3 linked regions of the Caenorhabditis elegans genome follow. The protein of the gene in region 2 interacts with the protein of the main gene of each other region in a biochemical or structural test. Each region holds a gene or a part of one and is shown on either strand. Other genes may lie near its edges.

Region 1 (11,786 bases), on a different chromosome or scaffold from region 2:
CCTAGGAAACCTTTTTCACGGCCTAGAAAACATTTGGCCTAAAATCCCCAAAGCCTCTAAAAGGAAACTTTTTCGCGGGGTTCTGGCCTTCCTCATTGATTTTAGTTTTACAGCTAAAACCGAGCCGCGACGCGACACGCTACGCGCCGTAAATCTACCCCAGATATGGCCGAGCCAAATGGCCTAGTTCGGCAAACTCTTCCATTTCAATTTATGCCTTTTTCACTGTCTAGAAAAGGAAACTTTCCATAAAAACATTTTTTTTTTCAATATGGAAATTTCAAAAAAAAAATTCTGATTCATCTTTTGGACTGAAAGAAAACTAGAAAACTAGCTGAAATTTGCATTTTTTTGAATACATTTTCCAGTTTTTTGTTGTATTGTTTTGTCCGTCCAGACACAATTTTTCACTTTTTTTGGTCTTTTTCTTCCCTTTCCCCAGTGAAGTTTTCATCAATATTTTATGCGAAAACGATAAGAAGAAGAAGCACATGATGTCATCATGGGATTCCTTACTGGATGAACGAAAAAAAAAACAATAAGAAACCTATCAGAAGAGCGCATTTTTACACGTGATGTATTGATGGAAGAGGAAATTTCTGAGCTACTAATTTTGTTTTAGTTTGATTTATTTCTAGGCCTCTGTTTTAAGATTTTTAGGCCATTTAAAAATTTTAAGACAGTTTTGGTGTTTCTAGGTCATCAAAAGTTTTTAGGTCATGTTGAAATTTTTAGTCGGTTTCATATTTCTAAACTGTATATGGATGGAAGAGGAAATTTCTAGGCCACGTTGCTAATTTTGCTTCAGTGTGATTTTTCTCTTATTTCTAGGCCTCTGTTTTAAGATTTCTAGGCTATGTTGGAAGTTCTAGGCCACCTAAAACTTGTGAACTTTTTTCGAACTTGCAAAGTCCTATTCCAAATTTCTAGGCCACAACTAAGACGGTTTTGGTATTTCTAGGCCATCAAAAGTTTTTAGGTCATGTTGAAATTTTTAGTCGGTTTCATATTTCTAAACTGTATATGGATGGAAGAGGAAATTTCTAGGCCACGTTGCTAATTTTGCTTCAGTGTGATTTTTCACTTATTTCTAGGCCTCTGTTTTAAGATTCTTAGGCCATGCTGGAAGTTCTAGGCCACCTGCAAGGTTATATTCCGTCTAGGTCACCTGAAAATTTAAGGTATTTCTAGGCCATCAAAAGTTTTCTAGGTTATGTTGAAATTTCTAGACAATTTTGAAACTTCTGGGCCATCTCATATTTCTAAACTTTTTTGTACTTCCTAGGCCACGGGGTTCTGGCCTTCCTCATTGAGTTTTTTGCGCTCCATTGACAATAGTCGTGTACTCCACACGGACAATTACATTTAGTTTTACAACTAAAATCGAGCCGCGACGCGACACGCAACGCACCGTAAATCTACCCCAGATATGGCCGAGCCAAAATGGCCTAGTTCGGTAAAACTCTTCCATCTCAATTCATTTGTTTGGTACTGACAGGTAATCTGAAATAATAAAAATAAAAATGTTTATATTACCTAACTTTATTTTTAGTTGTCTAGAACACTGCTAAACTTCTGCCATATATCAGGTTTTCTAGGCCACGGCCACGTTTTTACCAAATTTTTTACATAAAATTTAAATTATATGTTGCGAAAATGTTAAATATCTAGACTTGCTGAGAAAACCCTATAATTTCAATCTTTTTGTAGTTTTTGTTATTTTTCCGGCAAAAAAAAAAACTAAATCTCTCCTAAATTTAGCGCTGAGCACTTCCCGAAATAAGTGGTAAACGTCTCTCTCACTCATTTCGGAGCGACACACACACACACAACGCCCTTAGCCTTATCACATGCTCTTTTTTGTCTTTTTCTCTAAGTCTCTCACCGGCCACCACCATCTATTCTCTCTCTCTCTCTCTTTCTGCTTTTTTTTTCTTCTTTTTTTATGTATGTGTCAGCTTCCTTGATTTCCTCTTTTTTCAGCCAATTTCCAGCTTATTTTTAGATTTTTTTAATTGCCACGTGGCAATTGCTCTTTTGTATAGCTTTTAAAAAGTTAAAATTTTCAAAAAAAAATTATTGATGAGTCATTTATTTAAATTTGTGTTGAAATATTTTGTTCCGTTAATTTTTTTCAAAAAAATTGTACACGTGGAGTACACGAGCCTTTTTCAAGTTTTCTGAAAAAAATTTTGGCGGGAATTCAAATCTTCTGAGAAAAATTTTGGCGGGATTTCAAAAAAATTTTCTGAAAAAAATTGAATTTCTAGGCCACGTAGAAAAACTGATGGCCTAACTTATCATTAATCCTAGGCCACAAAGAAATCTGACCTAACTTCTATGTATTCTCGGCCATATTGTGCAAAAACCTATTTTCCAGGCTAAACTTTTCTTGGTCACGAGGGAAAATCTCAGGGACCTCTCAACTAATAGCCTAACTTCCCAAAATCAACCAGTTTTTGGTGGCCGAAGTTTTCAAATTGTTCTGCCACTTGGGAAAATTAAAGAAAATATTGATGACCTAACTTTCCCTAAACCTAGGCCACCAGAAAAAATCTTCTCTAATTTTAGAATAAGTTTCCAAAAGTCGAACTTTCGAAATTTATCTGCCACATCTAGATTTTCTAAATTAGTTTGCCTCTTTTTCAGGTGGCCTAACTTTTCCTAAAACTAGGCTACAGGGAAAACTCAAAGGCCATCTTTCCAGGTGGCCTAATTTTTCAACTTCTTAGGCCACAAGGAAAAATCTTCTATATTTTTTAACCCTGGGTCGAACTTTTCCACTTACTCCATGCCTAACTTGATAAAATCCCAGGTAACGGGGTTCTGGCCTTCCTCATTGAATTTTTCGCGCTCCATTGCCAATCGCCCGCCGGACTGGGAAAGTCGTGTACTCCACACGGACAAATACATTTAGTTTTACAACTAAAATGAAGCTACGACGCGCTGTAAATCTACTCCAGATATGGCCGAGCAAAAATGGCCTAGTTCGGCAAAAACTCTTCCATTTAAATTTATGAGAAAATCCATGCCAGGTCACGTGGGGATACCGTTGATGTTCCTGATGGCCTAATTTTCCAAAATACTAGGCCATAAGAAGATAGTGGCCGAACTTTTAAATTTTATCGGTCACGCTGCTCTCCTCGGCAAAATGAAATTTTCTCGCAATGCAATGTTTCCCAAATTTCCCCCATACTACTCTCGACACATTTTCCGATTTTAGATATATATATATATATCCTTGTGTGCATGTGTGTCTAATCTCTGAAAGTGCTCTCTCTCTCTCAAGGCTTCTCCTCCACCCTCACCTCCTCCTTCAGCTCTCGGATTTCATTTTCATTTTCTGATCTTTTCCCGTCTCTCTCTCCCTTGCTCGTTTTATTTTACTCATTTCAATCACCTGCAGGAAAAACATCGAAACATTTGAATTCTCCATCTGAAATTTCCCCCAAGTATAGCGGAAATAGACCGACGAAATCGCTCTCTCCCTGGGAGCGATGCGAATGTCAAATTCGAATACACCACGCAAGTTCAGTGAGAAGATTGCAATACTCGAGAGGAAACAGAATGAGGAGAATACAACGTTTGAGGATATTATGCGACAGGTTTGGAAATTAGCTATATATATATATATATATATATATAATGCAAAATTTGTTTTTCTAAATTGCGTTTTTATTTGAAAATTTAACATTTGTTGAGAACTAACAAAAAATTAGTAAAAATAATTTTTTGGGCGAAACTAAAGAAATTTAACAGTTGTACCAGGGGTGGGCGCAACTGCCGTTCGGCAAATTGCCGGTTTGCCGTTTGCCGGTTACCAGATTTGCCGGAAATATTTAGAGGGATTTTTTATAAGACGGAAAAATCTAAAAACGTTTTCTTTAGATATTTTCATATAATATGCTTACTTTTCAAAATAGATGTAGGAACATTCATAGGATGCGTTTAATTTTGCCATTTGAAATTGAAATTCTGAAATTTCCAAAAAATAGTGCGAAACCACAATTTGCCGAAAATTTTCGGCAAATTACCGTTATTCTGGCGAATTCGGGAAATCGGTAATTTGCCGGTTTGCCGATTTGCCGGAAATGTTTAATTCCGGCAATTTGCCGATTTGCCGGAAAAAATCGTTTGCCACCCGCCCCTGACAAGTTATACTCGAAGAATTTTTTTTTTTCAACTTTTTCATAAACTCATCAAAGTCATGACTTTCAATTTTTTAGTATCAAAAGCGGATAATAGTTACTTGAAAAATATAATTGTCTCGAATCGAATAATTAATCGAAAAATTGGAAATGTCTACTGAAATAGCGCCAATTGTTTCAAAACATTAAAAAAAAAAACTAAAATAAAAAAAAATTCTAAATTTTATATGAGTTTTTGAAAATAGGCAAAATCTCCGTTTTTGCCACTTTTTTGGAAGTCGTAGATCAATAAAATTTTTATTTCATTTTTATAGTCTACTTGTGCTTCAAACATTAATATTTTCAAATTTTCGGCAATCGACAATTCCGGTAATTGCCGGTTTTGTTACTTTCCGGCAATCGGCAATTTCGTCGATTGTTGGTTTTGGAAATTTTCGGCAACCGGTAAGTTTGGAAATTTCCGGTTTTGGAAATTTTTGCCAATTGCCAAAAATGATAATTTCCGGCAATTTCTGGAATTGCCGGTTTTGGAAATATCCGGCAATTTCGGCAATTCCGGCAATTGTTGGTTTTATGGATTTTTGGCAATTTTTGGCAATTTCGGCAATTGCAGAAAATTGAAATTTCTGACTATTTCGGCCATTTCGGTAATTGCCGTGTTTATGAATTTTTGGGCAATTTCGGCAATTGCCGGTTTTCAAAATTTTTCGCAATGACAATGGCCGTAAAAATGTTAAGTAGCAAGATGCCAATATTTTTCTATTCAGGTGCAATCAATCACCCATCATCCGACGGATTCATCAGGATCATCGACGGCAACTGCACCAATGCCCATTCCGCAACAGGTAAGGCGAATCTACAAAAGTGAAAATAATTGTGGAAATATAGAAACATATTTTTTCTGTTTGAAAATAACATCCATTTTCATCGAAACACTTGAAAAATATCTCAAAAACTGCCTGAAACTTTCCAAAGAATTTGCCTTTTTTTTTTAGAAATTTTCAGAACGTCTCATTACGGAATTTGGTAGTTTTGTATCATTTTAGGTCTAAAAAAGCAAAGTCTCAAATTTCGGTACTCCACCTTTAAAATCAAAATGTTACAATTATTCAAATGTTAGTATAAACTATTGAATGAACATATTCCAGGGTCTCCTTCCACCTCAACAACCATGGGGTCACAATCTCGGAGGATCCCTGCCGAACGTCCATCAAATGCCATCCTACTCTCCACCACAATGGCCACCAAATTGGCAGCACGAGATTCAACACAGACCTATCGTAAGTTTTTTTCCTAATTGTAAATCTCTTCAGCAACGAACTCCATTACAGCAAGGACATCGAAGTCGATCACCAGAGGATCACATGATCGGAAGTGCATCTGGATCACCATCACATCACTATCATCCGTATGGAATGAGATCGAATGGATTATCACGATCGCCCGATCGAACGCCTCCCCAACACCCGCAGTATACGCCCTATGGACCCCCGTATAACCAACCTGGACAGCTTGTGCCGCCCGAGTCGTGGAATCAGTGAGTTTTTGAATTTTGATAAATATTTAAAAACTGAGTTTTTTTTCTCTAAAAATCAGCGTCAGCGAGAAGTTTTTTTTTTAATTTCAAATGCAAATTTTTGCGAACTACATTTTTATACTTTAATTTTGCCTTAATTATTCGTATTAAAACATTGTATTTTTTCTTTATCGATTTGAATCTTTGACAACAAACGGGATATTATAAAACGTTTATAAATAGTTGAAAATTGTTTTTTGAGTAGACAGTTTTTTGTCAAATAACTGGTTTTGGAATTACAATCCAAAATTTGGACTTTTTCAAAACGTGTACCTAGCACACTTCCAATGGCCGTCGTAGCTCAGAAATGGGTATAGATGAAACAAGGTGGCCAAATTTTTTGAAATTTTTTTATTTACTGTCAAAAGGTGGCAATTACTATTTTTACATTCAAAAATCCAAAAAAAAAACCAAAAAATATTGATGCTTGAGTTTATTTTTAATGGGTTTATTCAAATAATGTTGCAAAATGTATTAACATACATGTTTTAATGGATTCTGATACAGTTGTGACGTAATTTTTCTACATTTCAATTTTCCGACACTACTTGAATAACCCTACTAATAGAGAATAGTCACGAGTCGAGACTCGACACGGCAAACATTTTTTGGATTTTTTGGACTAAAAAAAAACCAAAAAATCAATTTTTAGATTTTTCGAATTAATTTTTCGCAAAAAAAAACCAAAAAAACCCTGCTTTGCATGTTTCTAAAGTTACAGCCGTTCAAAATTTAAAAACTCATTTTTGCAAATATTTTTCATCACTTTAATGACACCAATACGCAATGACTGAGTCTGTAATTTCACATAGTAATTTAACTAACAAAACAAAGTTTTGGAAAAAAATTCCGAACCAATTTTTTTGATATTCGATTCAATATTTATTTGACATTTCACAGCCTTTTTCACGAAAAAAAAACCATTTTTCTACCTAAATTACCCGTATCCGAAAGTCGGGCAGTCTTGTTGCAAATATTCGCTGAATTTAATCCTTTAATATATATATTCGAAAAATCAGAGCCAATTTTTGACCTTGCAGAATCAATCGTGCACGTTCGGATCCTGCAATTCATAACATGGGCGGTATGGTTCCAATGCATCCACATCACCATCAACAACAACAAATGGCATTTCATCAAATGCCTCATTATCTTCAAAATTCGATGCCTGGACCATCTGGAATGATGGCTCCGAACAGTCAATCACAACAACACTCACCTCAGTTAACACCTCAAGGATCGCAGCAAGGATCACCGGTTCAGATGCATCATCAGATACCTCCACCATTACAAATGGGCAATAACCAACAAATGGGCGGAGGCAATAATGGAATGTCACCGTTACAATCACCTAATCATATGATGACACCTATGTATGGGTGAGTTGGTTGCAAAGTTTAAGTGGCCCGGGGATATAAAGTTGGAGATTTGAACCACAAAAAATGCGGGATTTTTTCCCCAGAAAATAGTGACGTCAGCACGTTCTTAAGCATGCGAAATCAGTTGAGAACTCTGCGTCTCACCTCCCGCATTTTTCGAAGATCAAAGCTAAATGGGACTTTCTAACTCCACGTGGTTGCAAAGTTTACGTGGCCGTGGCGTGGTGGCCGAGTGGCCGAGTTTTCCAACCAAACTTTTTGAGCAATTACCCGTAAAATTACGATTTCAGCATCTAATTTTAAGTGCCGACCAGCAAAAATCTTTTTAAAAAATCAGCCACCAATTTTTTACACAGACACTTTGCACGGGGTTCTTTCTTTCCTCATTAATACTTTTTTGGAGTTTCTATGCCATCAAAAGTTTTTAGGCCATGTTGAAATTTCTAGGCCGTCCCATATTTCTAAACTTTTCTGTACTTCCTAGGCCACCTTTCAATTTTCCAGGCTCCTAAAATATTATTTTTCACGGGCTCCGGCCTTCCTCACTGAATTTTTCGCGCTCCATTGACAATCGCCTGCCGGACTGGGAAAGTCGTGTACTCCACACGGACAAATACATTTAGTTTTACAACTAAAATCGAGCCGCGACGCGACACGCAACGCGCCGTAAATCTACCCCGGCCGTGCCCGAGCTAAAATGGCCTAGTTCGGCAAAAACTCTTCCATTTCAAGTTTTGCAAAATTTTTACAAAATTGTGTTATATTCGTAAAATTTCCAATGGGACTGATATCAGCAGTTTCGTTTGAAATTGCCACGTGGCCGAGTTTCCCTATTTCGGGGCCTATTTCCGGATTTTTTAGAACACACCAATAACTGCTACGTGGCCGAGTTTTCTCTTGTAGCAAATATGCCCGGCCACGTAAATTTTCGAATAAAAAATAACAGAATTCAGTAATTTGGGCGATTTTCTCGAATGAAAACCTTTAAAAAAAGTAGATTTTCGGTTTTTTTTTTCTGGCTTCCCTCATAAATTGAAATGGAAGAGTTTTTGCCGAACTAGGCCAGGCCATATTTGGGGTAGATTTACGGCGCGTTGCGTGTCGCGTCGCGGCTCGATTTTAGTTGTAAAACTAAATGCATTTGTCCGTGTGGAGTACACGACTTTCCCACGCGTTGTCCGGCAGAAGATTTCCAATGGAGCGCGAAAAATTCAATGAGGAAGGCCAGAACCCCGTGTGCAACGTGGCCGAGCTTTTTTCAAGGCCGCGTGGCCTATTTGTTTATGAAATCTGAAAAAAAAAAAATTTTTGGCCGGCAATTTTTTTTTTTGGAAAATCTATCTATCTGGTTTTTTTTCAAATTTTTCATCATGCCCGAGTTTTCAGTTTTTGCGGAATTTAAAAAACCTTTCTCATTGAATTTTTCGCGCTCCATTGACAATCGGCTTCGGGAAACGCGTGGGAAAGTCGTGTACTCCACAATGACACTGAAACCGAGCCGCGACGCGACACGCAGCGCGCCGTAAACCTACCCAAGATATGGCCTGGCCTAGTCCGCCAAAAACTCTTCCATTTCAAAATATGAGGGAAACCTAAAAAATGACACTTTTTCAAACGATAATCCGCATACTTTCCAGGTATCATAATGGCTCACCACTCCATTCACCGATGGATTCACCCCATGCCTCAACATTAATGCTCGATGGATCAGGGACACCCTCTCCGTATATGGAAGTAAGTCCTCCCGGAATGCATGATTTCAATCAAGATGCCGGAAGTTTACCCAATCTTCAAAATGTGCAACAGCAGCAGCAACAGCAACAGGAAATTTATACAAACGGGGGAGCCCCTGGTGGTGGATACTATCATGCTCCAATTGGACCAAGACATAGTACAGGTGCATGTGGTCCGAGGCTAGTACCCGGTCCAGCGTTGACACCCGAATCACAGTCGGCGCCGACGTCACCGCATAATCAATTGGATCCGAATCAACCGCCCATGTGGCCGACGAGAACATTCTCCAATTCACCGGAGGCATTGGATATTCCGAAATTGACAATTACAAATGCTGAAGGTGCACCTGGGCATCATGTTGATTCGTATAATGATTTTAATGTAGGTTGTATTGAATTTTCACGTGGTGTCAGATTGCCTCATTTCGGCTTGATCTACGTAGATCTACAAAAAAGGCGGGAATTTAAACGCAGAGTTCTGACGTCACATTTTTTTTGAGCTAAAATTTCCCGCATTTTTTCTAGATCAAACCGTAATGGAACAGCCCCTCACGTGGTGGCAGGCTGTCCCTTTACGGTTTGATCTACAAAAAATGCGGGATTTTTTTTGCCCAAAAAATGTGACGTCGGCACGTTCTTAACCATGCAAAATCAGTTGAGAACTCTGCGTCTCTTCTCCCGCATTTTTCGGAGATCAAACCGAAAAGAGACATTCTGACACCACGTGGCCCCTGGCACCCCACGTGAAAATTAAAGTAGCGAAATTTTGTTTTTTGTAAGCCAAAAAATAGTCTTAAATTTTGAACGGAGACCAAAAATTTTTTTTTTTAATTTTAAAATTTCCGCCGATTTTTGCTCATGTTTTGCTGAAACTCGGCCACCAATTTCACTTTCGCGGTCACGTGGCGATCGTAATTTTCGGATTTTTTCAAACTTTTCAAGACAAAAATTAAGTTTTCACAAGTTTCAACAATTCAAAAACAACTCGACGCCTAAATTTTTAGATTTTTTTCGAAAAAAAACGTTCCTGTCCTGATTTCTATTGAAATTTCGTAATTATAAAAAACTCGGCCATCAATTTTTTTTCTCGGCCATGCGGTTTTTTTCAAAAAAAAATTCAAATTTCTGCATCTTTTTTTTAGTTTTCTATGCTATCAGTTATGGTTTTCAAAAAACAAAACTCGGCCACCAATTTTTGTTTCGCGGTCGTTCTGGTCTTCCTCGTTGAATTTTTCGCGCTCCATTGACAATCGCCCGCCGGACTGGGAAAGTCGTGTACTACACGACAAATACATTTAGTTTCACAACTAGAATCGAGCCGCGACGCGACACGCAACTCGCCGTAAATCTACTGAGCCAAAATGGCCTAGTTCGGCAAAAACTCTTCCATTTCAAAATAGCTATATTCCGCTGAATTGTGGTTATAAAAGAACGAAACTCTTGGAAAAAAATATAAAAAAAGTCGCTGCGAGACTCCGTAAACCCCCTTTGTCCAATATAGCGCAATTGCATCACACATCTTTTTACAGGATCTTGGCCTCGACTCACTGGACAGCGTGTTATGTAACGGAGCGCCGCCACAGACAATATCCAACCACCAAACACCCAACAACTCATTCCATGATCCGGGCGGTACACAAATGCTCCAAAATTAGGTCCCGCCCACGCACGTGGTGTCAGAGTGTCTCATTTCGGTTTGATTTACGTAGATCTACAAAAAATGCGCATTTTTTGAAAATTCCCGCATTTTTTGTAGATCAAACCGTGATGGGCCTGGCACCATGTCTCTATCTCTCATTCACTTTCTCTCTCTCTCTCTGTCTCTCTAATTCTCTTGCCCCTCGCCACGAGATTCCACGTGGCGGCGCCTATTTTTATCGAAATATACCCCAGAATTCCAAAACAACAATTAAATGTGATAAAAGACGAATTTCCGAAGCCCCCAAACACACACCTCTCCACCCACGCATTTCAATGTTCTTAATTTTTGAAAAAAAAATCGATAATTTTATTACTCTCTGTGTCTCACACTCTCTCACTCTTTTCCAGAATCTTCCCCTCGTTCCTCAAAGAAAATATTACGGGGACATAAAATGCTGAGAATGCGTACTGCACAACATATTTGACGCGCAAATATCTCGTAGCGAAAACAACAGTAATCCTTGAAATTACTACAGTAGCCGCTTGTGTCGATTTACGGGAATGATTTAATAATCGATTTAAAAAAAAAAAAAAAGGAAATATTTAAATTTATTTCAAAAATCAGCGCTACAGTAGTCATTCAAAGAATTACTGTAGTTTTCGCTACGAGATATTTTGCGCGTCAAATATGGTGTGCAATACGCATTCTCAGAATTTTTTGTTCACTTAATACCAATCGCTCACGTTACTTTTTCTTTTTTTTTCTGTAAGAAATTATAATTTCAAATTGTTCTATTCCTGAAATAATATAGCAAAAGAATTATCGATTTTTTTTGGTCACACGTGGAAGAGAAACACAAAAAACTCGGCCACAAATTTTTTTTCGGCCATGTTGTAGGTGGCGCCAATCTGAAGGCATTAGAGCAAAAAGCTTGTTAAACAGGTAATCTCTTTTATAAAAACAAAAAGAACAGTGGAAGACAAGAAAAAGGCACAAAAAAATGAATGTGAACATAAAGAGAGATCCGTCATAAAAATTAAAAATCGCATTGTGGGGGAAAATTATATTATTATATACATAAATAGTTTGAAGGAAAAACCAAAAATTTTGTTCCCTTCTTTTAAAAAATCGAGTCATTCTCGATTAATGTCTCCTATACGGGTGGCTGTGGTTATCCCGTCGGCGGTCATCTCCACGGCGTCTGTCATAGTCCCGGTCACGTCTATGGTCTCGGTCGTCTCTGGAGCTTCGCGATTTTGATGGGTGACGCTTTCCATCATTGCGTCTCGCGTAGCTTGTCGATTGAGC
Region 2 (11,588 bases):
GCGGAATATCCTTCCTTACCTGTTGCGAATTTGTGTTCCTTTTCTTGGAAACTGCCTACATGAGTGCCGAACATAACTACTCTCTGTACAAAAAGAAGAAGGCTGAGAAGGCAAAGAAAATTGCGTCTGGATCTTTCTGAATTTGTTTTTTCTTGTTTTAAAGTTACCATTGCAATGTTGTGTCTTAAAATAAAAATTTACATGAGAATAATTGAATAATTTTGGGTAGGAAATTATTCAATTAATATTTTACTTACAATAGACACAAAGAAGTAGGAGAAGGGGAGTTTAAAAGACAGAAAAAAAAACTACTGAAGAGAAACATATAAAAAACAGAAACAATCACTCGCTGAAGGAAAATCTATTCACAGAAACAAAGGGGGTGACAAGTCAAGTCATAACTTTAAATAATTATTTGTATGGTTACTTGTCAAAATTGGCTGAAAATGAAAGCGGCACTAGAATAGCATCAATTAAAATACGTGGCATTTACGGAGGTGAAGGGGGGAGGGGCAAAACCAAACAGAGTCAAGAAAAAAAATACAAAGATACTGTAAGCTGCAACAAAGTGAACCAATATAAGAAACGGGGGTTTCAAGCTTAATACAAGGAATGGAAGAAATAAATTTTGAGACAGAAAAGTTGAATTTTACACAGAGCATTGTTGGCATCAAGGAGTGCTTAACGAGCCAGTGTTCCAATCAATGCGGCGCAAATCTCAAAGAATTGCATAGTCTGGGAAAGCTTAGCTCCTCCAGGAGATGGTGGTGGTGTCACATCGCACTGAAAATACTCGGTCATTGAAAATTAGTGCGTTAATTATTTAAAGGTAGTGGCATCAACTTCTTGTCACTCGAAGATTTTTAAAAAACCTATAACTATATCAACCACTCCAAATACAATTCCAGTTATTTGTAATACTTCACAATAAAAATATTGAAATAAAAGAAAAATATTAATTCTCACCGACATGTCCGAAAAATCATGCACTTCCATTTTCTCAATACTCGCCTCCATACTCATCGCCTGTGGCATGCTTGACGTTCTAGTTCCACGAATTCCGGCCGGCTTCTGCGGCATAGACATTGATGCGTGTCGGGATGAAGATGCACTGGCGGCTGAAATTTTTAATGAATATTGGTTGAGGTGGAAATTATATATTCATTTGACCCATTAGGAAAAAATGCATACAAAAAAAATCGTCTTGAGAAGACTTGACGCTATTGAAAAAGAATTTCCATTGACCTTTTTATTTTTCCAACTGCAAAGCAAACTTCGTTTTAAACATTTCTGAACAAAATTATTGTGACACGTTAAGCTAGACTACATGCAGAAACTTAGGTTATAGAGGGGCATGTTCAGAGACCATTGCAAAATATTATTCTACGGCTTTTCAAATTCAAATTGTGATTTTAGTTTAAAAAAATGCACTAACTTGTATTTTCTAGTATTTTCTAGAACGATTAACTAAATATTTTAAACAGGTTCCACTTTCAAAAAGTTCAATCTAAACAAAGAAAACCCTTACATCCAGACTCCTCGTCGGCCAAACTCTTGAAATCCAACAAGTAACTTCTCTGATCCACTTGGTACAACTGCAACGACATCTTTGGCGGGTCGGCAGCGGGTGCATCAGGCTTGCGACGAACAATCACATGATATGGGTTGAGCACCTTCCACTCCATGTCCAGCTGCTTCATCGCACGGAACACCTCGAACATGATGTCTTCCGGACGACTTTGGGATCGGATACCCAGATGCCACTTGGCACGTTTGTTGCGGTTCGCGCCACTGGCTTCCGTGTTGTCGAGAGTTGGTGTGATCTTGCTGCTGACTGACGCTGAAATTGAAGATTTAGATATTGTTTTACGAATTTCATGTTCGATGCAAAAGTTTTATTATTCTTTGCCACCAAGAGTTTTTCTATGCACCCTCTCCTACCTGCAATGCGCTCTGGATGGCGATGAACTGGTCCAGGTCCCTTATTCGGCGTCACTTGATAAAACTCCTCAATTGACAACTTGGCAGTCTCATCGGCAATTCTCTTGTTATCAACAATCAAGTTATATGCAATCGACAAATGGTGATGTGGATCATCTCCCAGCAATGCTGAGGTGACTTCCTCTTCGGCGACATGATAGCGCTGAAACTTTTCATTGTGATTAGAAACTTCTGCTCCTATCGAACACGATTAATACCTCAGTGACCTCTCGGACAGCCTCAATATCAACAATGGAAGCCTCACTCTCGTTGATTGGTGGGAACAAGTAGTTCGGCAAATCCTTCTGGAACCACTCGTGAGCACTGAAAATATAAAGCAGTTATTGTCTTGTTTCCTTGGCGTCTCATAGCAACGATGTTTGTTTTTTTTTTCTTTTTAGAAGACCACTTACATGACGTCCTTGATGGTGGCCCTCTTCATCGGGTCTACGCAGAGCATATGGTGAAGCAGATTTACAATTGGGCGCTCCAGAAAGTCTGGAGTTGGGAATACGCCAGCTAAAAAACATATTTCGTGAACGTTATAATTTTTAATGATTCCAATTTAAATTTCAAACATTTATCACCCGGGCAGTGCGCCAAAACATAGTAATAGTGCCTTTTGTAATAGGGATATTTCAATTTTCAAATCCCATTTCGCTTTCATATGTCTAAATGAAATTGGTATGTTGTCGTAATCCTTTGCCATTTTTGTGTTTTGATTCTCATGTCACACTAACGTACATTTAATTTTTCTGAAAAGACTTGGCACGTGCTCATCATCAAATGGCAGGGTTCCACAAAGAAGTGCATACAAAATGACTCCACACGACCATACATCAACTTCGGGACCTGCGTACAACCTGCAAAACAAAGTTGTTGTGTCTAATCTTGTTCAATTACTTTAATTGGATTTCTACTAGTGCAAAATGTCGTCTTGGTGTTTGCGAACACATGTTTCATGTTTTGTTATTCAGTTCTAATTTGGTTTTTATTTTACATTGAACCATGATCAGGAGACCACCATAATCACTCACTTTCCGCTAATAACCTCAGGGGCAGCATAATTTGGCGATCCGCAGCTGGTGCGTAAGAAGTCACCATCCGTCATAATATTTGAAAGTCCAAAGTCCGCAATCTTCACATTGTTCTGCTCATCGAGCAACAAATTCTCTGGCTTCAAATCTCTATGGACAACCATATGACGATGACAGTAGTCAACGCCGGAAATGATTTGTTGAAAGAAGCGACGAGCTTCTGCGGTCTTCAGCCGTCCGTGCTTAACAATGTAGTCAAAGAGCTCCCCGCCGGAAACGTGCTCCATAATCATGAAAATGTCAGAAGGTGTACTGATGACTTGGTAGAGGCGGATGATATGCGGATGGCGGAAGAGCGAGAGGTTTTGGATTTCGCGGCGAATCTTTCCAACGACATCCAGTGACTTGATCTTCTGACGGTTCAGAATCTTGACAGCCACTTTGTATTGAGTTGTCTCATGGATTCCAACTGAAAATGTGAAAACTAGATGAACAGAAAAGAAAGATAAATATGTCAGTATTTGGCAGATTGGGACAAAATTTTTGCAACAATTTGGCAGCTTATGGTGTTGCCAGGAAGTTGCAGCAAATGAAAAAGTTTCTAACTTTCCGGTTTGGTTGAATTTTAAGGTGTTGTAGCTTACCTTTTACTTTACCAAAAGTACCAACTCCGAGTGTCTCCTTGAGAATGTAATGTCCGATTTTGATTTGAGCTTTGAGCTCTTGTTGCTGCTTCGTCGACGTTTCTCCTCCTGGAGACGACATTTTCGAACTGTTGTCTGTGCTATCGCGGTCCTTGCGTTCCTTTCTGAAAACGTACGTTGTTGGTAGGTAAATGATCGTAAGTAAAATCTCGAATTCACAAGTTCCTCAGAATAATTGTTCAGTTAAAAAATCAATAAATACAGTCACGAGGAACCTCCTGCAAATAGCAAAACAACGAGAAAAACAAGTGTATAAAGAGCATGTATTTTTCAAAGATCAGAAATCTAAGAACAAGTTTTGGTGTTTTGAGAACATAGCAGAAACAAAAAATGTCTAGAACTACAACCAACAAAGATCGATGCCTTTTTTCCTTTGGCCGAAAATGTGGTAAAAGGTCCGCCAACCTCCCGCACACTCTCGCGACCCCTACACCTCTCACACGCACACTCTTCTCTCTCGATCTTCCTCGCTCACTCTTTCTCACAATTTTCCTCGTTTTCTAACAACAGACAAACACACACGCACAGCGAAGACAACGAGAGTTGACCATACAGCACAAAGCAATGGCGAGAGATAGAGAAAAAGAGGAGAAAAATAGAAGGGAAAGGCATCCCGTGTGTTCGTTTCCTTATGTCTATCGTCCTCCGGCGCAAACAGCGTTGGTAGGTAGGAACAAAAAAATAGAAAGAAGAAATTGAACTTTCATTTAAATTTTTAAAAAATCTTTAATATTTATTTAGACCTAACCTAAAAAATTGACAACAAGTAGTCAAATGGGAACGAAAACCAGAAATGAGATAAGATTGAAAACCGAAAATCGCGTTTTTCTACAGGCAAAAGTGCAATGTGGACATGATTGATTGATTTTACGGGTCTCAAAGACTTAAAAATTGATAACTGGTGTGGTTTTTGGATGGTAATTTTGAATGGATAAACAAAAAAGCAACTTCTTATCACAGAATGACCATTGCAGTAGGAGTCTCTAGGAAAACCGTATGCCCATCAGGTCTTATGACTGCCGCCCAGACACCAGACACTAAATTTCAAAAACAGCAGGTGCAGTCAGTGTTTTGACATAAATGTGCCGGATATGAATGGTAGAAGAGACAATAGGAAAGGTTCCAAAATCAACACCAATTACAGATTTTCAAAAGGTTGGAGGAACTGAAACATCTATTTTGAGAGAACAAAAAAACATGTAGAAAAACATCATCGAAGGTCAGACAGTGGAGACGATAGAGAAAACACAAGCGCTCAATGAATAATAGCCGTATTGTGTCATCGAAATTTGATACACTCGTAATATAAGTGGTGAAGATAACAACAATAATCACAATTTGATACGACTAGCATCAAAAAGTTATGCATTAAAACTGTGATTTTACTAATTGAAATTGTCAAGTTGGTAGAAAATTAATTACAGACGATTTATGGCATTTGAAAAAGTATTAAAAGAACTGTTACACCGCAATTTTTGAATTTTTTAAATGACTTCTACTAAAACGAGTTAAACTTTAAAATTAGTGAGACTACCAAAAACGTTTCCACTGATAAAAAATTGAGACAATTTTTCTAACTGCACTTTGAAAAAGTAAACTCGGCTGACATCGTAGGGTTTCATTTTGGCCACAAAATTTTGAAATCAATTTTAAGTTGGAACATGTGGTTTTTTTGTTAGATTTATGTGATTAACAGCTGCTCATATTCTCCTAACTCAGCTGAAAGTTTGCCCTTTATATTGGAAATTTAACGTATGTCCATGTTCAAAAAGTGCACGTTTGAAATATTTTTATATTTGTACTAATAGAAGTTGCACAAAAATTTGAGATTTTTGAAAAATATCCACCCTACTGGAGCTAGAACAAAACAACAGAAAAATAATAAAATCCAACTGATCAATATTTTTATAAATTTTGTCAAACTGTAATGTTCAATTATCAAGATGTAGTCTATTTCAAAAACTCAGGAAAAATTTAGCTCATAAGATGTCAGTCGCTTCAACTTTTCTACAGCGGATTTGAGACAATCCAGGGTTTAGAAAAACTATTTAGAAAAATGAGCTTAACTTCTATTTGAGAAAAAAACTTTTTCACAAATCATGAGAAAATGTCGAAAACAGTTTTTTAAAAATAATTTTTGCATTGCATAAAAGAATGACAAAATCGAATCTGGGAGCTTTCAAATTTCACAAGTTCCCACTAAATTTTCCTGTAGTTTCAGCAAGAATATATTATATTATACGGTGAAGCCTCTTGAACTGAATTTCTATGAAACTAAGCATCTCAGATATTTATGCTTTTGTATATAAATTGCCACAAAAAATTGTCGGCTGCAATAAAAAATAATAACCTATATTAAAAGTTTGAGGCTCAAATATTAGACAACAAAATCTAGAAGCTCAATAAAAATTTTCCAACTAACATTTATTCAATTGCCTTCTCGTGATCATTGAAAATATATTCAGTTACTTCACGGAAAACTTCCGAACCTATCAGAATTTTCCTAATTTATGGGAAACTCTTTTTTTTGTTGGAAATTTTGACAGGTCTCCTTGCAGAACGATGAAGAGATGTTAAAAATGAACACTGGCGGAAGAACTCAAGGTTCAAGATTCGTTGGTGTGGTATCTGTTTGTGTTTTTCATGATATACATGTGACTCCATCAAGCTTTGGCGTGTCCACACACACACACACACACACTCACACTCTCTCATACACACAAATACGCAAACGAGATCACTCAATTTACCATGATTTTCAACGGAGGACAAAAAGAAGAAAAGCCTTTTGGTCGCCTCACGCGGGGCGCCAGCCGTCTGCGTCTCACACTATTTTCGGATACGTTGCGGCACGTGTTTTTCCAATGCTAAATGCACGGAAATTGGGTTTGAAAGCGGAATGAATGAGGAGAATCCGTGAGAATACGAAGAAAATGTTGCCAACTAGGTAAAGAGGGGGGAAGTTGGTCCGATGAACGGAGTATCGTACCGCGCGTTGTTTAGTGGAGGGCGGCAGCGTTCCGCGCGGCTCACTTATTCGGGAAGGGCCCCCACATTGTTCGTTTTGCATTAAGGCTCCAGTCTCTTTTCTTTTGTTTTTGCATTGAACATTTTTGCTGTTATCTTTTTCTGTTTTGCTAATCGTAATGGGCGTTTACAAAAAGTTGCTGAAAATTAATATTTAGTCTTTCAAAAACTAGTGATCTAGAAAGTTTTCAAAAAAAAACCTTGGTACGTTATTTTAAATGTGAACAATCTTTAATTCACACAGACAAAACACGGAATTCAGGGAAAATTCAGTATTTTCCCGAATTGGAATCTAATTTGCTGAGGGCCGATGAATTTTTCAATATTTCGTAATACTAAAGTAATTTGTACGGAAAATCTGAGTTGATTAGCTGAGGCGCTAGAAGCATGTTTAATTTTTTCACTAAACTCATCAGTGTGGTTTTAAAAAAAATTAATCTTTTTCACATTTTCAAATGAAAAGAACATCCCTTCTGTGGCTACCCATCGCAAAATTTTAGAATTGCGGTTTTTGACTTCCCTTGACCCCCCGAAAACCCCTCAAAAACTAACCTTGACTTTGCCGATAGCTTTCTTGAAAGATTTTTCACGCGATTAAGTCCACTTGGCTGACTCCGACTCTTGGATTTCATCTCAGTACCGTCTCCACCACCGTCCTCCTTCCTATCGCGGTCTCGATCTTGATGAGAAAACATTTCTGAAAATAGTCGGTTATTTTGAAATGTAACCTAAAAAACGGGCATTAGAACGGCAATGTTAGACCTTGAAATCCAAAAAAAGAGAGAAAAGCCACTTTGTCATGCGCAGAAATCGGCGGCGATGGTGATGACGGAAAATGTGAATAAGCATATTTTGGTGGCGTTTTTTGGTTTTTCTAACAGCTCGGCTGCTAAAAAGGTTTGCTGTGTAAATAGAACAAGTACTCACCGAACACTTTTTTCATTGTTTTTCACGTCGAGAAGCAGCGAATTTTCTTTTTTTGAAGGGATAGCTTTTTGAATTTTTTTTTAGCTATTCAATGCAACATAAAGCAATAGAAAAAATGAAGGAGAACAATTGAAGCTAGCTCTCGAAGAATGTTTGATGAAAGCGAAAACTTCACTTCGAAATTTCAATATCTAGTGGAAAAGGTTTTCTAAAACTAACAGGGCGAATATAGCCATCTTTTTCCAAAATGCCATAAAAGTGGAAATGTAAATGAGGGTATGAACATTAACAATTTTTTTGACACGTTCATGTGAACAAAAAATTCCACCCGCATAGTTCCATATTTTTAGAAATAACAAAAATTGCCTAATATCACTTAATGCTCTAGCTCTAATCCAGTTACTAATCCTTATTTCAAAACGATTTTTAAGCACTTTTCAGTGCTTTTTCCTTCCTCTCGCCAAACAAAAAGCAAATATGTTCAGATGCTCGAGTGCAACGCACTGAAGCTATATTTGGCAGAATACCAAAAAATCGATTCAAAACGCAATGTAACAGCGCGTGGAAAGTTGAAACAATGTGATGATACCAGAAACATTCATAATAAATTCTGGTAAAGTGAGCCCTCCTCACTTGACGCTACTGTTTGTGAGTATCAGACTCGGCGACTTTTGTCAAAGTAATCGGATCAGAACGGGGCAGTGTATTGGTATACCTCCTGCCACAAGGCACGTGCCAGACAATATGAAACAGTATATGCGTTTTATTCAGTCTCTATTTTTTTCGCAATTCCCGCAGGGAAAGTCACCTGCCAAGCTTACAGCTTCTAGGAAAACATTATACTTTAACAACTATAGATAAATTTTGAAACTTAAAAGTTACTTGTCAACGAGAGCTCATGATACGAGAGCCAACGAGAGCGCGGGAAAAAAAATGAGAGGGAATAATAACTTTGAACGATGGGACGAGTTGAAAAGTGTCATATTTCGGAGCACAATGGTTTTGAGCACACTCGGCGTCCAAGTGATGAGAAAAGTTTACTTCTTCGTTAGACACTTGTTGACTTGCTTTCTTTGTTTTTGAAATTTTTGTTCAATTTCCATTTTTCTAACAACTATCATTATGTTTGTTTTTGTTGCCTCTTAATTGTTAGTTTTGTGAAAAATCCATGTCCATGTTCATCTTTATTGATTTTAAAAATTTTCAAATTAACTTCAAAATCATTAAAGGCCACCCATTAAAGTCGGTGACTAAAATAATAAATCAGAATGTGCTGAAAAAATTTTTAGTTGTCGTAAATTTTACAAAACTTTGTTGAGAACTTCGCCACGTAGAATTGAGGCTTTAAGGCGGCCCGGAGGCGCCTCTTATCGCCTTTTTCTTTACCTCTTCTCTCACCCTTCTTTCTACCGGAAATCTTGTATGCAAATTCTCATTACGGTGAATATTTTTCTGTGATTTTTTTTCATTTTTACTTCTCATTCATTCAAAGGCGTTTACCGGGCGGAATGTTGTTTAGTTCTCATCCATATTTCTAAATACCCAGCAACTTGGATTTTCTCGTGTATACTGTTCCATTTCTTTTCATCATGTCCCGCCATCATCACCCCAAAAAGAAAACCGATTATTTTTCGTTTCGAAAATTTACATAAACATGTTTTTCCGCCTGGCCACGTGAGATTGTTATATTTATTTATCTAGGCGGTTTCGCACCATCACTCATTTCAAAAGGTCATTTTGCCAATAATTTTTGAAGTGGTCGTTTGGTTTTTGAATCTTTGAAGTTCACGAGGTAGTTGTATAGGTTAACCTTGATTCCTTTTGTAAAGGGATTTTGAAAAAATCAGCTCTTTCAAGGTTTTTCTATAGGCAAAAACAGAAGAAAACTTCCACTAGAAAATTTCAAAAAAAAAAATAGTTTTTCATTTTTGGTGAGGGAATTTTGATATAATTTCATTTATTCCTAGGATCTTATTACATTAACCTAGATAAATATCCAATCTTTTTTTTCAATTTTCAAAAAAGTAATTTGCCTTATCAAAGAACACTTTGAAACCCTCACAAATGACACATTTCGATCTCATTGCGCTGCGTTTTGCCCGTTCTCTCCACCTTGCCATCACGTTTTCCTCGAAATAAAAATTTTCAAAATGGTCACGTCTCGAAAAACGTCTCTGGCAAACAACAACGCTGCCTCTCGTTTTCTACCCGCATGTGTTGTTTTCTCGGAAATAGTGTGTGCTTATTGGAGGGCGGGCCGACGAGAAAGAGTTGTCGAGAAGAGGCAGTCCGTTTTTGAGACCCCCTTTCCTCAATTTGTCCGAAAACTAGGCAAAATTTCCTGTAACTTTTGTTGTGAACTGTCGACTTTGGTGCAATAGAAAGTAACCATCTAGTTCAGTCTTGAAACTGGGCCCGTAGTCTTATCAACACACGTTTCTGTTGATTTCTTGAGTGCTAAAATAAGAAAGTAGAAAGTTTTACGTTTCTTATCGTATAATAATTTTTATCATCAAATCGATTTTTATTGGAAACACCTAAAACGTTTTTTGTTTCCAAGTAAATCCTCTCGAATGTCGATGAGGTGACCTCCTTTTAACGTGGTCATTTTTCGATTTTGATCTCTTTCGCTATATAAATACACCTCATTATCGCGTTTTGCGGCATACCGCCACTCTTTTCATCTCTTCAATTTCTATAACTAAACTTATTGATTTTTTTTAATTCCAGAAACAACACTCAACATGTCCTTCTTTGACGGAATCCCAGTTGCTCCACCAATCGAGGTGTTCCACAAGAACAAGATGTACCTCGATGAGACGGCTCCCGTCAAAGTTAACCTGACAATTGGAGCCTACCGCACAGAGGAGGGACAGCCATGGGTGCTTCCAGTCGTTCATGAGACTGAAGTCGAAATCGCCAACGACACCTCGCTCAATCACGAGTATCTTCCAGTTCTCGGTCACGAGGGTTTCCGCAAGGCTGCCACCGAGCTTGTCCTCGGAGCCGAATCGCCAGCTATCAAGGAGGAAAGATCGTTTGGAGTACAGTGTCTCTCTGGAACCGGAGCTCTTCGTGCTGGAGCCGAGTTTCTTGCTTCAGTGTGTAACATGAAGACCGTCTACGTGAGCAACCCAACATGGTAAGTGGTCGAAAAATCGGAGCCAAACATACTTATCTGATAAAATATAACAAGTCTTGTATTGGCCAGAGTGAGTAGCAGTCAACCAGAACTTCAACTTCTTAAAATAGCCGCCCAATTCTTGGCAGTATTACCATAAACCTAGGTAATCTAGGTAAAAAATGAGTTTCAGCAAGGCTCTTTCAAAGAGGTGTAAGGTACTTTTCCTGAACCTCTGATAATGCTGGGCGAAATTCATCAAATCATGAATTTTTATCATTTTCAGGGGAAATCACAAGCTTGTCTTCAAGAAGGCTGGTTTCACCACCGTCGCCGACTACACCTTCTGGGACTATGATAACAAACGTGTGCACATTGAGAAGTTCCTCTCCGATCTTGAGTCAGCCCCAGAGAAGTCTGTCATCATTCTTCACGGATGTGCTCACAACCCAACTGGAATGGACCCAACTCAGGAGCAATGGAAGTTGGTTGCCGAGGTGATCAAGAGAAAGAACCTCTTCACCTTCTTTGACATTGCTTACCAAGGATTCGCATCTGGTGATCCAGCTGCGGACGCCTGGGCGATCCGCTACTTTGTAGACCAGGGAATGGAGATGGTTGTGTCCCAATCATTTGCCAAGAACTTTGGACTTTACAGTAAGTTTTGAATAGAAGATGAAAAGTAAAATACTTCAAAATTTCAGACGAGCGTGTCGGAAACCTTACTGTCGTCGTCAACAATCCAGCTGTCATTGCCGGATTCCAGTCTCAAATGTCGTTGGTTATCCGTGC
Region 3 (8,754 bases), on a different chromosome or scaffold from region 2:
AACAACGAAAAGCTACATGTTTCATAGAACATGATGGTGTGGAATGGATTTCTCATAGAATGAAAATATATTGAAAACTCGATGTGATCATACTCATCAGAAGGAAGGAAGAAGCATGAGCAACATGAAGTAGATGATCTTAATCCTTTCATCCTCTCATCATTAACGTCATCATAGATTTCACGTTGACATTAATCAGTGGGGAAAAGCTGGAAGGAGTGAATGGAAGATTACGGAGAAAGCTTATAACATCAGAAGAACGTGGGAGTCACGTGGTTCCGTGAACTATCAACTTTTTAAGCTCGATGAGTTTCAGATAATCCAATTTACAGAATCCTCAAAGAAGCGAACACTAAGGTGATAAACATTTTGTTAATCTTTATCCGATGTGCCCATCATCAAATCTGTTGAATGATTTGAGCAAAAAAAAGACGAATCACATGCTCATTTCATCAGTGTTAGAAAATAAGGTGATCGTTGAGAGACGAAGGCAATCGGAGAAATAGTTGAGCACAGATCGGAACCGATAGCATTGATAGATCTGTGTGTGTGGGATCCAAGAGGTTTAGGGCTCAGTGAGCAGTAAGAAGGATATTGTTGAAACAACTGATAAAGAAGATTACAGTATTCTAGGATACATTTTCATATAATTTTCTTCTTATCTCAGATGGCTAGATGGAAAATTCGAGACTAGAAACTTGAAGAAGACTGATAAAACTATTCCTTCTTATATTCTCGAGGCACGTAGACATCTAGACACTCGGCAAAAAAACCTCCAGGGAGGAAAAAAGTACATCGGTATTCCCATTTGGTCTCGTTTTTCGATTCTCTTCACAAAAATCGAGAGGAGACATCGCGAATCGAACACGGGGGAAACCGGTTTTCATTTGCAGAGACAAAAAAGGGAAAGAGATAACGATGGCGACGACGACAGGGGAAAAATGTTGCGAGAGTAGCGATGTTGGACAAGTTGCTGCAATATTTTGCACTGAATCGCGAAAAAATTTGGTTAGGATTTCCCTTTTTGTGATGAATTCATTATATGAATAACGTCATTGGAAGACTTTCCGACAAAAGAAATTTTTTTTTTGAAAAAAAAAGCGTTCCAAAATTCCGAAAAAAGCGAACTTCATGTTCCCCGTTTTCACTTTTATTGGGTTGTTTTTCAGACAGACACATGCCAATACCATTTGTGTGTAAAGTGATGGGTTAAAAAGTCAACAATGATTGCGGGGAATTTTTTCGTTGTTGTTGGTTTCAACAATATTTGAATTCCAAAAAAAAAGGACCAAAAACTATAAGAGCAATGTATAACAAGAGTTTCATCGGAGTAACAAGAAACGGGAGTGTGCGGGGAGAAACAGAGAGAGGGCAATAACAAAAGTGCAAAACCAAGAGAGAGTCTAGTTCAAGTGCGTTATTAGTTAGCAGAAACCTAAAGATTTTTCGTGGGAGGGGCTTTTTACAGTAATTTCAGATTATCACATCATCTAGTTTACGCCTAGAACTCTGACCTTTGAAACTGTTTTTTTAATAATTTATTTTCAAAACAGAATATACAACGTCACTTGCCGTTTTTGTTCTTTTTTGATTTTTTACATGAGAAAGAAAAATCGGTGTCAACGCGTCTGACTGACTTTTATCTTTTGCAGCAGGCAATTGATAAAGACGCCTGGCAATGTATGATGAAATGATCAAAGACTGTCAGTATGTTGACAGTCAAAAGGAGCTTGATTATATAGCGCAATGGAGTGGGAAAGATTTCGTGAGAGTACAAAGAACAAATAACTCAATGGTAATTCCGATAAGCTAGATCTAACTGATATTTTTGGCCACCAGATTTTCAGGTCGACTAAAAAAAAGTGAGGTCTCGATCAAATTTCACTGAAAATCAGAGCGTAGGAAGGAAGAAGGACTAAAGGCCAAAACAAACACTTTCACTTTCACCAGAGAGAGGAGGCAGCAAAAAAAATCACAGACAGACCGTGAGTAGAACACACTACTTTTTTTCCTTTTTTTTCGACGCGAGTCTATCCAGACAACGAGACACTGAAATCCAATGGGACGTGTATAGTAGGAAGGCTGAGTGGAATGACAATTAAATTAAAGTACCGTACTGTGTGAAAATGGTCGATATTGTAGAGACTCTTAATTCAAAAAAAATTGGCTTGGGGGCACAAGATCGCCAAAAAAAATATTTTCGATATGATATTCCCATATTTAGAATCAACACTTAATTTTAAGATGTAGAGTTAGTTAAAAATTCCAAATATAAAAAAAGCGACTTTCAGGCGTTGCCTGAAACTTTTCAAGCTTTTTTAATAAAGGTATATGATTTTCCTACATTTCTGTTTTAATTTTTGATTCAAAAAATTTGAAATCATACAGGAATTACCAGTTCTGCCAAAAACCTCCTTATTTCGAAAATTTGAATTTTCTAAAATGGAACCATAATAGGTACTTCGTTTCTGTTCTCTGATTTTCGACCTATCGTCTGTTCTAATCAAAAACCCCGCTACAACAGTGTGCAAAAAGTGCACTTTTCCGTTCTCAAATACCACTTGCTCTCTCCCTTTCTTTCAAATGTTTGCCATTTTGTGCTTCCTTCCCGTAGAGAGAAGAACAGCTGATGTGACAGAACAGAGAGAGAGAGACAGAGAGACTCTGTCTGGCAATACAGTGAGGGAGCAAACGCGTGACAGTTTTCGACCTCTGAACGTCACACCGTATACAATGTTGCACACAATGGTGAGTAATTGTTGAGACGGGCGACGACGGTTTTTAAAAGAAATGGGGTTACTGTAGAGAGAAATTATTTTTAGAACGAAAATACGATTTCTGTCTTTAAAAAAGTTGAATCAGAAACTCATGATATTAAAGTTTGCATCAAATCTAATTTCCAAGCAATCAAAAGAGAAAAGAGAAAATAGAAAACCTAATCACCAGTTGTTTGCAAACTGCAACTCCGCGAGAAAAAAAAAGAGAGAAAAGAGTCAAAAGATCGGGGAAACCCCTTTAAATTCTATTTGCCTCTCCTCCTCACATGCACGTGAATTTCCCGTGTGCTTAGTGGACCAACAGCTGACAATAGGCTTGTTGGCCTATAAAAGACGAAAAAGTGTTAAATGATTAGAAACAAAAAACAACTAAAACAGTGATGACATCAAAGGGTTTTCCCTTAAACAAATCTCGAGGTCAGCAACAATGAGAGAAATCACTTTTGATTGTGCCAACCGATCGGAAATAAAATGGAGAAATTGGAAGAGTAACGAAAAAAAGAAATTTCGATGATCAAAAATCAGAGCGAATGTGACAGATAAAAGATGACGCGACACGACCACAAGAATTGAAAAATCAGAAACAGTAAAAGGTCAGCTGAGACCTAAAATTGAGAAAAATTCAAGGCCATTCGGCATATATATATATATTTCTATATATTTTTTTGTTCTTTTTTAATTTAAACATTTAAAATTTTGAAATTTTGAAATTTTAAAACCGAGGCTTGTTCACAAGCCAAAACTCTTTCAAAAATTGATAAAAAGGGCAAAAATCATCAACTTTTATAGCGTTTGTCCTTTTTCCACGAAACAATGCTTTTAGTGCAATTCGACTTTTATGAACCTTCACAAACCACCTAAAAATCTTAAATTTGGCGTACCTAGTTCTTCCGCTGTCAACAGTCTCTAAAGATGTGTGGAAATACGGAGAGAACGAGCATTTTTCGCGAAGAAATTGTTGAGAATACTGGGTTACTCCGCCAAAAGAAGCCGAACGCTCTTGTTGATGGAGGTCGAGATTGAAGAAATCATCTGAAAAAAAAACAAATAAAATTGGAATTTACAACTTTAAATCACGAATTTACCGTCAAAATCAGTGGAAAAACTCATTCCGGAATCAGGCCTTGCCGGTTCGAGATTGTGCAGTGTGATGTCAGATGGTAGCGGCGAATCGAGCTGAAAACTGGGCAAATTAGACGAAAAAAGCGCGCTTTTTTGATTTTCAACTGTAAAAGCTGTGTAAACTTCCACGATTTCGCACAAAATCGGGTTCAAAACAACTATTTTTAGCAGCGAAATGAAGAAAAATAGGGAAAAATGATTGGAAAAAAATTTCGAAAATTTGAAATTTAAACTGCGAGTATACGGTAGTTCTCGATGTGTGTGCAAGGTGTTTGCGTATGCGGCGCCATACCTCACGACAGTTCCACGCTTGCATGTCCTGTGAGAATTTTTGCAGAAAATTTCGGCACTTCGAGCAATGTAATGAAGACTTTTGCTGCAAATTTTAGTTTGATTTTCAATTTAGAATCATAATTATAAGCAAAAAATGTTAAAAACCTCGAGTTGCATCATTAAAATACAGATAGAAATTGAATAGAAGTTACAATGAGGAAATTAATTTCAAATGAAACGTTTTTATTTTGGATAATTTTGAAATCTTAACTAAAAATGAACATTTCCGACGTCTCGAACTGATAAAAAGAGAGAGAGAAGAAGCTTATTTTGACATAAAATGTGTATAGAGGAAGATTTTTTTGCAAAAAAAAAGTTTCTTATCACAATCCATTTTTGCCCACTTTTCCACCATTTTTTCCATCACATGTTCTCGTCAAATGATGGAAAAGTAAACCGATATGTCTTTCCTTGAGAAATAATATGAAGAAAAAAAAAATAGAAAAGAGGACATTGGGAATGCTTTTTTTTCTCGTTGGTTGGCGGCCGGCGACAGAGGTTTCAGAGATCAACTTCTGAGCGACCCCATGCGAGAGTTGTTTACGAGAAAGTGCAAAACTGTTTTATGAACTTTGAGACGGAAAAGAAAAAGGGGAAACGAAAAAAAGAAGATATAAAGCGAAAAAGCAGCAAGCTCGCCCCAAACGAACTCACTATTAGGAATAAAACATGAGTTTTTTAAAGAGAGGAAATCGTGAGAGAAGATTTTGGTAAAAAAATGATTTCAAGAAAAAAAAATCAGAGTTCGTAAATCTACACTGTGCAAACACCGGAGTTTACGAAAAAGTACAGAAAATATGAAGGTTTCAAATTCAAATTTTTTAATTAAAGAAAGGCGAAAATTTCTTTGAGCTGGAAAAACTTTGGAGAATATATTATATTTTTTCGAAAAAAAAAATATTTTTCTAAAAGTATATAATATTAATTTTGGTTTTTTTTTTCTTTTTTTTTGAGGAAAAATAACAGTTTCTTACGAATTTTTTTCATAAATATAGCAGAAATGTAATTAAAATTCGATTTTTTTTTGTAAATTTCCTTGAAATTCTGTCAATTTTCCTTCTTTTTTTTTGAAGAAACACCTTTTTCTAAACATGTCGTTAACAATAGTTCCAAAAAATTGGATTTTTCTCGTAAAACTTCGAAGCACTTTGGTTATTACGGGAACACAAAGTTTTTAGAATGCGTATTGCAAAACATATTTTACGCGCAAAATATCTCGTAGCGAAAACATGACTACTGTAGCGCTTGTGTCGATTTACGGGCTCGATCTTCGAGATGAATTTTATTAAATCAAAGGATTTCGAACATCGAGCACGTAAATCGACATAAGCGTTAGAGTAGTCAAGTTTTCGCTACGAGACATTCTGCGCGTCAAATATGTTGTGAAATACGCATTCTCACAAGTTTGTGTTCCCGTAATAGAGTTGCCGATTTTTTTTAAAAGTTTTCTAATCTCCAATTTTTGGCAATTTTTTTGCTTTTCAAAGAAATTTTTTTTTCTTTTTTTTCTTTTTTTTTTTTTTTCATAATAAAATTGCGCGTAAAATTAGATGCACTGACTCCACCCCCACCAATAGATCAAACTATACGCGCTAAGTCTTTTCAATCTTTCTAAACAATCTTTTGCTGCATTTTGTAAATAACTGAAAAAGAGCAGAAAACATGCAAAACATAGAAAACACTCATGTTTTTCACAAAAAAATAACTTTTCAAAAAACACGACGAAAACTATTTTCAATTTGCTACGTTCTATTTTCAATTGAAAACGATCAAAAAGTGTCTCTTACATAATCATCTGACGGTTATTTTCGTGGATCATCATCAAAACCCACCTGTCTTTTTCTTCTTCTCCGGGCACAGGAGAAGAAGAGGAAAAGACTTACTGAATTGTGTGTTAAAGTACACTAGACAGAGAAACAAGTCAACAAAAACGGGCGGAGCCACACATAGATGCCTCGTCATTCACGTGCGACCCTTCTTGCGCCCCGCTCGCTCTCTTTCTCCAAAAAGTGATCGCTTAAAATAAGAGATCACAATTGTGGCGGCGGGCGCCAATGTTCCCGCCGGTTGCCCTGTGATCTCCGAAATTCAAACCATGAAACTCTTTTCCATTCTTTTTTGTGTATGTCTGTTTCAAATTGTTAACAGAAAATGTGATAAGGTATCGGTGTATGATCCACTAGAAGGGTCTCCCCATATGAATATAATGTGAACCTATGTTTTTTTGCAAATTTAGTTTGAATTGTTGGGGAATGGGTATCATGTGCCTTTTCGTCTGCAAAATGGGTCTAGACGAATCGAAAAAAGAAGAGAGATACACTCTCTAGCAGATGGGCCTTCCCCCCACTGAATTTCAAATTTAGCAGGTGACCGTTGAGATGTACTGGGCCCGTTTTTTTTTCGAATAGAGGAAGTGAGGGATGGCTTTCGGGAGATAAACAGATGTTTTCACTACGGTGATGCACATTTGCTCTACCGATATTACGGAAACAAACAATTCTATTAATGCGTATTGCGCAATATATTTGACGCGCAAAATATCTCGTAGCGAAAATCACTGTAAATGACTACTGTAGCTCTTGTGTCGATTTACGGGCTCGATTTTCAAATTTAAATTTAAAAAATTTCGAAGGAAAGTGAAAAAAAAAGTTTGTTCTCGCAGTTCGAAAATATATTTATTTCAAAAATCGAGCCCGTAAATCGACACAAAGCGCTACAGTAGGTATATAAAGGGTTACTGTAGTTTTCGCTATGAGATATTTTGCGCGTCAAATTTGCTGCATTCTCAGAATTTAGTGTTTCCGTAATAAAAAAACGAGAGAAATAGGGGAAAATTTAAAGATATGCATGAAGTACGGTAGTTGAAAATTTTTGAGCATGTCAGGACCGAAAAGTTTAAGAAATCTTTTCTCTTATTAACTAGAGTTCCAGAAAAAAATTTTTTTAATGAAACTATACTGTAGTTTTCATAAAACTACTGTAAAACTGTCAACTGGCAAGACCACCACGGAAGAGCCAAGATATTGCACTAAAAGGATTTTTCTATTATGTTGTGAAACTTGAAAGAAAGAGATTCTGGTCACTGGTGTTTGAGGCTTGAACACAATTTTTGCAACAAAAATCTCCTGCTCACCAAGAGAACGATTCGTAAAAGAATTGAAATGTTCAGTTCTTGAAAAAATTTTCAGAGAAAAAGAAATGGAATCGGGAGAGTCAACCCTCTTATCAACTAGAAATGAATTGCAAAAGAGACAAATCGGGAATTCGAAAATAAGTTTGAAACATATTTTTTGCGTCAACACTTTAATTCGAAAGTTCACATCGTTATCACTTTTCTAGGGGCACTTTTCGAGCCGTCTCTCTTTTTGAATTTCTATCACCAAAGGTAATTGCTTTGGAGAATTTGAATTTTAAGTTTATCGTGACGAGACCCATTATTTTACCTTTTTTGGAAGAATTTATATTAGAATTTAAAAAAACCTCCAAAATCCCAAAAATTCTGAACATTGGCCAAGCACATTAATGTCGTCTTGGGGTCAGAGATTTTAGTGTGCTCAAAAATTGAGAATATCTCTGTCATTTTTTTCTTGAGCTCTGGTTTCTCAAGAGAACATTAAATTATAAAAAATTGCGTGGTTAATATGTATCACGAGAATTGCTTCTTTTATGGATTCGAAACATTTTCTTGTGATCTTTAAGCTACGGCATTTAATATAGTAAGTTTATGAAATCATTGGTCATCTTAAAACATTTTTGAAAACAGGAAAAAAATTTAAAATTATCTGCCTGCCACGTGCCTACTGCAAAGTGTATGCCTGAATAATTTTTTGCAGTTCTACTATTTCCTATGAAATCAATAAGAAACTATAGTCTTCTTTATACAATTTCTTGGAAATCAAATATTTTTCTCCTACTTTTTATGTTTTCCAATGTCCGACCGCGCCGGCCAAAAAAGATGCACTTTGCCGTAGAATGAAAAATCAGAAAATTGGCCTTGACAAATAAAATCTGCTGGCGGCGGAGAATCTATGGGGTCAGCGAGTTTATGAGTACGGCAGAATGCGGCAAGAAAACAAGAATAATGTCAGAAAGTACACTGCAATTGGAACAAGGCCGCAAAATTATTGTATTTTCATGTAAACAAAAGTTTGAGAAAGATGATTTTGTTTGAATTTGAGTGAAAAATGGGGTGATTGGTAGCAGGGGCATATTTTCGGCAGAAGTACAAAAGTACCTATTTCAGTAAAATTTATATAAAACTGTCGAAAGAGGTCTGGTCAATCTGAAAATAATATTTATTTTTGTTAAAAACTCGAAAAGTACCTTGCCTAAAAGTTGGCGTTAAATTTATTCCGGCAAACGGCAACTTTAAACTTGAAAATTTATTTCAAAACCTTTTTTTTGGAGGTAGAGTTGGGTTTTCGTTTCAAAAAAAAATTTGAAAATGTTTTATTCACTGTTAAAAAGTGACAATTGCTCAGTTTTTGCTACTCATAATTTTGGAAGTCGACCAAAAAAAATT

Evidence for each region.
Region 1: of the proteins of aak-2 (region 2) and crtc-1, one has a biochemical effect on the other in vitro, tested with the Caenorhabditis elegans proteins (one study listed by BioGRID).
Region 3: of the proteins of aak-2 (region 2) and daf-16, one has a biochemical effect on the other in vitro, tested with the Caenorhabditis elegans proteins (one study listed by BioGRID).

The regions. Positions count from the first base shown.
Region 1 is NC_003279.8:2,022,910-2,034,695, forward strand, and holds crtc-1 (CREB-regulated transcription coactivator 1 homolog), read left to right. Parts: upstream 1-3,406; 5' UTR 3,407-3,503; coding exon 3,504-3,605; intron 3,606-4,915; coding exon 4,916-4,993; intron 4,994-5,296; coding exon 5,297-5,428; intron 5,429-5,479; coding exon 5,480-5,685; intron 5,686-6,764; coding exon 6,765-7,103; intron 7,104-8,740; coding exon 8,741-9,218; intron 9,219-10,365; coding exon 10,366-10,491; 3' UTR 10,492-10,839; downstream 10,840-11,786. Other genes in the region: Y20F4.4 (C2H2-type domain-containing protein), read right to left, coding at 11,622-11,786. UniProt on the Caenorhabditis elegans protein: Transcriptional coactivator for crh-1, the homolog of vertebrate transcription factor CREB1. Regulates the transcription of metabolic genes and may have a role in mitochondrial dynamics and metabolism. Involved in modulation of lifespan.
Region 2 is NC_003284.9:16,791,944-16,803,531, reverse strand, and holds aak-2 (5'-AMP-activated protein kinase catalytic subunit alpha-2), read right to left. Parts: upstream 7,444-11,588; coding exon 7,301-7,443; intron 6,418-7,300; exon of another isoform or gene 6,358-6,417; intron 3,826-6,357; coding exon 3,662-3,825; intron 3,487-3,661; coding exon 3,018-3,486; intron 2,844-3,017; coding exon 2,725-2,843; intron 2,500-2,724; coding exon 2,394-2,499; intron 2,305-2,393; coding exon 2,199-2,304; intron 2,150-2,198; coding exon 1,942-2,149; intron 1,841-1,941; coding exon 1,529-1,840; intron 1,119-1,528; coding exon 967-1,118; intron 784-966; coding exon 682-783; 3' UTR 141-681; downstream 1-140. Other genes in the region: Degenerin mec-4, read left to right, coding at 1-140; got-1.2 (Aspartate aminotransferase, cytoplasmic), read left to right, coding at 10,420-10,817, 11,083-11,453, 11,501-11,588. UniProt on the Caenorhabditis elegans protein: Acts as a sensor that couples lifespan to information about energy levels and insulin-like signals. Role in motility and response to oxidative stress. Involved in the establishment of germline stem cell (GSC) quiescence during dauer development.
Region 3 is NC_003279.8:10,746,093-10,754,846, reverse strand, and holds the start of daf-16 (Forkhead box protein O), read right to left. Parts: upstream 4,350-8,754; coding exon 4,338-4,349; intron 4,285-4,337; exon of another isoform or gene 4,276-4,284; coding exon 4,192-4,275; exon of another isoform or gene 4,142-4,191; intron 3,954-4,141; coding exon 3,863-3,953; intron 3,810-3,862; coding exon 3,659-3,809; intron 2,429-3,658; exon of another isoform or gene 2,290-2,428; intron 1,782-2,289; exon of another isoform or gene 1,635-1,781; intron 1-1,634. UniProt on the Caenorhabditis elegans protein: Forkhead-type transcription factor. Binds to the promoters of genes that contain the daf-16/FOXO binding element (DBE), TTGTTTAC, in their regulatory region.